Linked DNA regions of Callithrix jacchus. The protein of the gene in region 1 purifies or fractionates together with the protein of each later gene. This does not show direct contact. Links are inferred from orthologs where the notes say so. Each region holds a gene or a part of one and is shown in the gene's direction. Other genes may lie near its edges.

Region 1 (3,809 bases):
GGCTCAAGCTATACTTCTACCTCAGTCTCCCAAAGTGCTGGAATTATAGGTGTAAGCTACCGTGCCCAAGCTTTGCCTGTGTCTTTGGACACCAGATTCTATTGGCCCCCACCCCTAAATATAATAAATATTAATGTGTGGCTCAAAAATACAATAGTAAAAAGTAGATATGATACGTAAAGTATATCATATCATGTGCATCTTTTAAATCCTATCATAATTTTCTACTCTAGCTTCCTATAGTATATTAATATTAAGTAATATTTGATAGTAATATTTTAAAATATTAATATGCCATAAGAAGCTAAAGTAGAAAATTATATATCAGTCTATAGGAAGCAATAGTAGAAAGTTATACTATATACTGAAAGCATAGAGATGAGTACTTGGCACATAAAAATTATTTTATATACCTATCTATATGCTTTTCATGACATATTAAGTCATTGAAGAGCAGGGAATCAGATACTGCTGTGTGCTTTAATAATATATTAACCTATTGTTTCGTGGGATTTTTTGTTTTCTTCCTTCTTTCTTTCTAGACCAACCCTTTATACTTGGCTAAGCTGATTTTCCAGATGCCACAGAACAAGTCCACTAAATTTATGGATACTGTTATTTTCACACTATATAATTATGCCTCTAATCAGCGAGAAGAATATCTACTTCTCAAGCTTTTTAAAACTGCTCTGGAGGAAGAAATAAAGTAGGTATATAAATACATATGTAAAAATACCAATGAATAGATGCTTTTGTTAGTGGAGGCTGTCTTTGATTTACTAAAATTATTTTTAAATTATTATAAGTTATTCTCACATATTAAAATATATCAAGTTTCTTGAGAATATTTCTATATCATTAGACCTATATTCAGGTACCATTTTCTCCCACCAGTGATACTTTCTCTAGTGTTAAATTAACTCTTGATTTTGTATGTTTGTAACGACTGAAAAGCAATAGCTTCTTGAAAACCAGTGAGAACATTTAACTTAATTAAAATTCTGAGTAGGAAAGCCATTTAACGGGTGGGAATGCAGAGCACGATCTCTGCGTAAATCGTCTTCCCTTCGTACTAGAACTTAAGCTACCTTTGCTAATTTATTTTCTGACTCAGTTAATGTAAAAGTTGTCTAGGTAGCTATAATGAGTGGGCTGAGAAACATGCATGAGAAATGTCCTTAGCTCAGGTGGCCTTTCTGACTTGTAGAAACCTTAAGTTATGCTAGCTCCTATTGGTTTTGGGAGCATGGGAGCCAGGCACCTCTGCCCTCGAGGTGTCTACAAGCCCTTGAGAAATGTGATTTGGGAGAAATAGGAATGCTGTACAGTGGAATGTGGTAAGTGCTAAATGAAGGATGTGTCTAAATGGAGGACATGTACAATGTATCGGGTTAGAGGATTGGAGAAGTTCCAACTTGGTTCACTAGTAAAGATTTTATAGAAGAGGAGGTGCTTGACACAAAACTTTGAGGAATAGCTACAATTTTTATAAAAAGAGATAGAAAAGGGAAATAAGGCACAATGGTAGTGAAAACAACATGGGCGTAGGTGCAAGAAGGAAAGTAGATTAGTCTACCCAAAATGTGACTCGATTACTAACTACGGGGAGATGAACCATGAAAGACAGGGTATGGCCAGGTCATGGGAGACACTGAGTAAAGGCCCAGCTGTTAAGGCTCTATTTGATTTTTGGGGATCTGTGAAATCTTTTTTTTTTTCTTGGAGATGAACTCTCGCTCTGTCGGTCAGGCTGGAATACAGTGGCATGATCTCAGCTCATTACAACCTCTGCCTCCTGAGTTCAAGTGATATTCCTGCCTCAGCCTCCCGAGTAGCTGGGACTACAGGCACTCACCACCACGCCTGGCTAATTTTTGTATTTTTAGTAGAGATGGGTTTCACCATGTTGGCCAGACTGGTCTCAAACTCCTGACCTCAGAGGGGTAGGTCCCAGAGAGATGACGGGTCAAGCTGTGCCTGTGCATGAGGTTTGGTTGGGCTCTGGTAGACCAGTTATTCTTTTGTTTGGACATTGATTTACCCTCATTCTCCTTACAAGCACCTACAATTAGTCAAAAAGTAAACAAAAACAGCATTTAAAAGTGGGAAGAGGAGCCAGAAAAGGAAATAAAAAAGAATGACTGGATAAGATAAGGACCAGGCACTGTCAGGCTCTAAAGGGGAAGGAGGTGGAAGAGGGAGAGGGTGGTCAAAAGGGGGAAGGGAGAAAGGGGAGGAAGAGAGGGGAGAGGCCCTGAGAGTCAGCACCGTAAATCAAGAAGCGCTCTCTCAGCCATTTGATATGGCTAGAAGCTGTATCGCAGCTTTAAGTAGGATTTGAAGAAGTGAAACAGTTTATTCAGTCAAGAAAGTTGTTTTTGAAATTTGATAACAACAGAGGAGTGATACTTGTACAGTGTTACCTAGTATTGTTAGTCCCGGTCTATTTTCAGCTTATACCTGCCTTATAGGTTGAAATTGAGGCTGTGACTTTATTTTTAGATCCTCAAATTATTCATCTAAGAAACATACACCTTGGAGACTGGGAGTGGTGGCTCATGCCTCTTATCCCAGCACTTTGGGAGGCCAAGATGGGTGGATCATTTGAGGTCAGGAGTTGGGACCAGCCTGGCCAACATGCTGAAGCCCATCTCTTGGAAAATACAAAAATTAGTTGGGCATGGTTACATGTGCCTGTGATCCCAGCCACTCAAGAGGCTGAGACAGGAGAATTGCTTGAACCCTGGAGGCAGAGGTTACAGTGAGCCACTGCACTCCAGCCTGGGCAACAGTGAGACTCTGTTTCAAAGAGAGAAAAAAAAAAAGAAATATACACCTTATAAATGATTGCTTGTTTTTAAAGCACGCTAACTTTGATTTTCATAGAAAAAAGTGTAATTCCGTGAATTCCTTGCCTGCCAGAGAGAGGATACATTGTTTAAAACTGTATTCAGTCCCAGCACCATGGCTCAGGACTGTAATCCCAGCACTTTGGGAGGTTGAGGTGGGTGGATCACCTGAGGTTAAGAGTTCGAGACCAGTCTGGCCAACATGGTGAAACTTCGTCTCTACTAAAAATACAAAAATTAGCCCTGGACATGTGGTGGCATACACCAGTAGTCCCAGCTACTCGGGAGGCCAAGGCAAGAGAATCACTTGAATCCGGGAAGCAAAGGCTGCAGTGAGCCAAGACCACACCACTGCACTTCAGCCTGGGTGACAGAGCAGTACTCTGTCAAAAAAAAAAAAAAAAAACTCTCCATAGAAGCAATCCATTTTCTTTTGTCTTGGGCTTTTTTAGATCAAAAGTGGACCAGGTCCAGGACATAGTTACTGGTAACCCTACAGTCATCAAGATGGTTGTCAGCTTCAACAGAGGTGCCCGAGGACAGAACACCCTGCGCCAACTCCTGGCTCCAGTGGTGAAAGAGATCATCGACGACAAGTCGCTGACTATCAACACAAACCCTGTAGAGGTATACAAGGCTTGGGTGAACCAACTAGAAACACAGACCGGAGAAGCCAGGTAACAAAGTCAGGAAGGTGCTGGTCTTCAGTTATGTTTTACGATACTTTTACATGTGTATTTATTTATACCATTAAACTTCGTTAGGCAAACTGTACAGTCAGTTGTCAATCCAAAATGTTACCTCCCTTTAACATATCCATGCAAATCACATTCTTAGACTCTTGGTCATCTTGATACTAAATGGTATTTTCAAATTTCAGAGACAGGTGATCCCAAATGCCACAACTTTCATAATTCTCTCCTTTGTTTATTTTCTTTGTGTGTTTCTAAACCTAGACCT
Region 2 (4,585 bases), about 120 Mb from region 1:
TAATTTTTTGTATTTTTAGTAGAGACGGGGATTTGCCATGTTGGCCAGGCTGATCTCGAACTCCAGACTTCAAGTGATCTGCCCGGGGCTTCCCAAATTGTTGGGATTTCAGGCGTGAGCCACCGGGCCCTGCCAGCAACAGTTTTTGTTTTTTGTTTTTGTTTTTTTTTGGCTGAATGGACATTGTTATTGCCAAATAAAGGTATGGTGTATGATTTTAGACTTCCTTATAGTTTTAGAATCCGAATTTTCTAGAAGGATCTAATGTAATCGCAGATAGTTATCAGATAAAGAATGAAACAGGAGGAATCAATGCCTTCTGATGGCCTCAAGCAGGTGTTAGCAACAGGGAGCTTGGCTCCTGCAACCACAGGTTCCTCTTTTTTTTTTTTTTTTTTAAGATGGAATCTCAATCTGTAGCCCAGGCTGGAGTTCAGTAGCACGATTTCAGCTCACTGCAACCTCCGCCTCCCAGGTTCAAGCCATTCTCTGCCTCAGCCTCCTGAGTAGCTGGGATTACAGGCACCTGCCACCACGCCCGGCTAATTTTTTTTTTGAGACGAAGTTTCGCTCCTGTTTAGCGTGCAATGGGGCGGTCTCAGCTCACCACAACTTCCGCCTCCTGGGTTCAAGCGATACCCATGCCTCAGCCTCCCAAGTAGCTGGGATTACACGCATGTGCCATCACGCCCGGCTAATTTTGTATTTTTAGTAGAGACGGGGTTTCTCCATGTTGGTCAGGCTGGTCTCGAACTCCCTATCTCGGGCCACCAGCCCGCCTCGCCCTCCCATCCGTATTTTCGGGCCTCCCGCCCGCCTAGGCCTCCCATGCCTATCTCGGGCCTCACAAAGTGCTGGGATTACAGGCATGAGCCACCGCGCCCGGCCTAATTTTTGTATTTTTTTTAGTAGGGACGGGTTTTCACCAGCGTTCGTTTCTTCCCGGACGCTGGTCTCGAAATGCTGACCTTGTAATCCACTTCGGCCTTCCAAAGTGTCAGGTTTACAGGCATGAGCAACCGCGCCCAGCTACTACAGGTTTTTCTTTCCTTTTTTTAAGACGGAGTTTCGCTCTTGTTACCCAGGCTGGAGTGCAAATGGCGCGATCTCGGCTCACCGCAACCTCCGCCTCCTGGGTTCAGGCAATTCTGCCCCAGCCTCATGAGTAACTGGGATTACAGGCACACGCCACCATGCCCAGCTAATTTTTTTGTATTTGTAGTAGAGACGGGGTTTCACCTTGTTGACCAGGATGGTCTCGATCTCTTGACCTCGTGATCCACCCGTCTCGGCCTCCCAAAGTGCTGTGATTACAGGCTTGAGCCACCGCGCACTGAACCCCAGAGAAAGGACCCGCAGATCCCGCCACGCCTATGCCGCGTTAGCGCGCAAAGATGGCAGCCGCCGCGCCCCGTGGGCGGAGACAAGCGGGCCCGAGCACTTCCGAGCGTTCCTGAAGCCCAGAGGAACTCCGGGAACCGCGCGGGCGGGAGCTGCCCCACCCGGAACCTGGGAGCGGCGGCGCCGGCGCGGGGGAGGGGAGGCCGGATGTGAGTGGAGCGGCCATTTCCTGTTTCTCTGCAGTTTTCCCCAGCTTTGGGTGGTGGCCGCTGCCGGGCTTCGGCTTCCAGTCCGCGGAGGGCGAGGCGGCGTGGACAGCGGCCCCGGCATCCAGCGCCCTGCCGTCCTCAAGCCGCGCGCCCGTCCGCCGCGCCCCGAGCCCGCCGCTTCCCGTTTCAGCGCCGTGCCGCTGCCGCCGCGGCCCAGCGAGCGGCCCAGATGCAGGCCATCAAGTGTGTGGTGGTGGGAGACGGGTAAGTGCGTTGCCGGGTCTGGGCTGGGGGCCGCGGGGGCGGGCGCGGGCCGGGGTGGGCGCGGGCGGGGGGCGGGCCGGGATTGGGGCCCAGGCAGGCCGGGATCCCTGGCGGGCTCGCGTAGGCGGTGGGCCTGGGCCTGTGGGGCACGGGGCGGGGGCCGCGGGCGCCGGCTGCCCGGGCGGCGCGTGCCTGGTTCCGGCTCTCGCTGGGGGAGGGCTTCGCCACTCGCCGGCCGGTGGAAAAAGTGAACTCCACCCTCCGGCTTTCTTCCCGGACGCCGCCCGCCGCCCGCCGCCCTCCCCGGGAGCCCTCGTAGAGGAAGCGCTCTTGGAGATTTTTACCGTTTTTCCAAAAAGGGACCCTCTCTTGTTTTTTTGCTTGAACCTCTCGATCCCTGGACCTCGAGAGCTGTGTTGGGAACCCGGCGGTTGAGTCGATCATATTTGATGCGTGCCCGATTGAACTGGCCGCTTTAGTGCCCCAAAGTTTTCTTTAAAAATTTTTTTTTTTTTTTTGCAGAGACGGAGTCTCGCTGTGTTGCCCAAGCTGGTCTTGAACTCCTCCTGGGTTCAAGCGATTCTCCCATCCCAGCCTCTCAAAATGCTGGGATTACAGGCGCCTACGCCTGGCTAATTTTTAAAACTTTTTGTAGAAATGGGGTCTCACTGTATTTCCCAGGCTGGTTTCGAATTCCTGGCTGGGATCAGGCGAACCTCCTGCCTGTCAGCCTCCAAAAGCGCTGGGTTGACACCGCGCCCGGCCCCCAAACTGATTTTTGAGCAGGTTTTTTCGACTTACACTTCTGCCACTGTTAGGATTCCTAAAATTAATGCTTTCTCCCTTTCCGAGGATAAAGTTTTTAAGATGCTCCCTGGCAGGAGCCATCTGTGATGGGGACTGTTCTTTTATCTTTCTTTATTTTATTTTATTTTTTTAAACGTGGTGTGGTCATTGAAAAAAAAAAAAAACTTTCTTGCTTAACGCGTTGGGTATGGGATGTAGCAGAACTGGCTCCTGTGACTCCAGGCGTTGCTTTTCATGACTGTCCGTGTTGGTTACAGGCCCTCGAGAAGGACAAGACTTGTTTTATGCCGTTTTTTTCTCCCATAGAAACAAAAATCTCAGTGTAACCCGAGCAAAATCGCGCGTCTCAGGCGTCGCTTGTATAGGTTAGTGTTAGCAAGGAAGAATTACTAACAGTTTCGTCAAACTCAGAATGCAACTGGTACATGTTCGAGTAAAGTCGAAGGAAAGTTAGGGCATCAAGGTTAACTTGGTTGATATTCTTCGAATTTGTCATTAGGTTTTGGTTTTATGCCTCTACGTCAATTCATGGATTCTCAGTGTATTTAGATAATTATACTGTTAAGACATTTGCAATTGTTTCAGTTATCCTTCTTGCAATTCAGATGCAAGAGGATAATTAGACAACTGATTTTTGTGAGAGGCCCATCTGTCGGATTTGTCTTGCAAGTGTGAAGGATTATTAACGCCTCATAATTTTATGTTTATATGATAACTAAAAATTGTAACTTTCAGTTAGAGTACGTATGCTGTTCAAGCTTTTTTTTTTTTTTTGACTCGGAGTCTCACTCCGTTGTCCAGGCTAGAGTGCAGCAGTGTGATCTCTGCTCACTGCACCCTCTGCCTCCCAGGTTAAAGTGGTCCTCCTGCCTCGGCCCCCCTAGCAGCTGGGATTACAGGCACGTGCCACCATGCTTGGCCGGTTTTTGTAATTTTAGTAGAGATGGGGTTTCGCCATATTGGCCAGGCTGGTTTTGACCTCCTGACCTTGTGATCCTCCTGCCTCAGCCTCCCAAAGTGCTGGGATTACAGGCATGAGCCATTGTGCCTGGCTGGGCTTTACTTTTTTATTTGGGAAAAGTGTTCAGTCAATTGATTGATAGTGACATCAGTGAATTGTTTCATTTAAAAAAAAATTTTCGAGACAGGGTCTCTCAGTGTTACACAGGTTGGAGTGCAGTTGTGCCATCTTGGCTCACTGCAACCTCCACTTCACCCGCTCAAGCGATTCTTAGCCTCCCGAGTAGCTGGGATTACAGGTGCCTGCCACCACGACTGGCTAGTTTTTGTATTTTTAGTAGAGATGAGGTTTCACCATGTTGGCCAGGGTGATTTTGAATTCCTGACTCAAGTGATCTGCCTGCCTTATCCTCCCAAAGTGCTGGGATTACAGGAGTGAGCCATGGCACCTGGCCCACCTTTTCTTAAGAACATTTAACATTATTTGGATTTCCTTTAAGCTAAAAACGCTGAATCAAGTTTTTTTTTTTTTGTTTGTTTGTTTGTTTTTTTTTTTGAGATGGGGTCTCAGTCTGTTGCCCAGGCTGGAGTGTGATAGTGTGATCTCGGCTCACTGCCACCTCCATCTCCTGAGTTCAAGCGATTCTCCTGCCTTAGCCTCCTGTGTAGGTGGTGTTACGGGCGCGTGCTACCACCCAGCTAATTTTTTGTATTTTTAGTAGAGATGAGGTTTCACCATGTTGTCCAGGCTGGTCTTGAACTCCTGACCTCAGGTGATCTGTCCACTTTGGCCTAGGATGACAGGCCAAAGTGCTAGGATGATAGGGATGAGCCACTGTGCCTGGCTGACCATATTATTATTATTACTATTTTTTGAGACAGGGTCTCACTCTGTTGCCTGGGCTGGAGTGCAGTGGTGCAGTCTCTGCTTGCTGCAACCTCTGCCTCCCGGGTTCAAGCGAGTCTTGTGTCTCAGCTTCCTGAGTGACTGTGATTACAGGTGC

Evidence for each region.
Region 2: the proteins of IQGAP2 (region 1) and RAC1 purify together in Homo sapiens (affinity purification with mass spectrometry; 5 studies listed by BioGRID and IntAct, with this or other methods). This does not show direct contact. The link is inferred for Callithrix jacchus from reciprocal best matches to the Homo sapiens genes IQGAP2 and RAC1.

The regions. Positions count from the first base shown.
Region 1 is NC_133503.1:134,365,046-134,368,854, reverse strand, and holds part of IQGAP2 (ras GTPase-activating-like protein IQGAP2), read left to right. Parts: intron 1-542; coding exon 543-706; intron 707-3,301; coding exon 3,302-3,526; intron 3,527-3,809. UniProt on the Homo sapiens protein: Binds to activated CDC42 and RAC1 but does not seem to stimulate their GTPase activity. Associates with calmodulin.
Region 2 is NC_133503.1:16,113,022-16,117,606, forward strand, and holds the start of RAC1 (ras-related C3 botulinum toxin substrate 1), read left to right. Parts: upstream 1-1,572; 5' UTR 1,573-1,779; coding exon 1,780-1,814; intron 1,815-4,585. UniProt on the Homo sapiens protein: Plasma membrane-associated small GTPase which cycles between active GTP-bound and inactive GDP-bound states.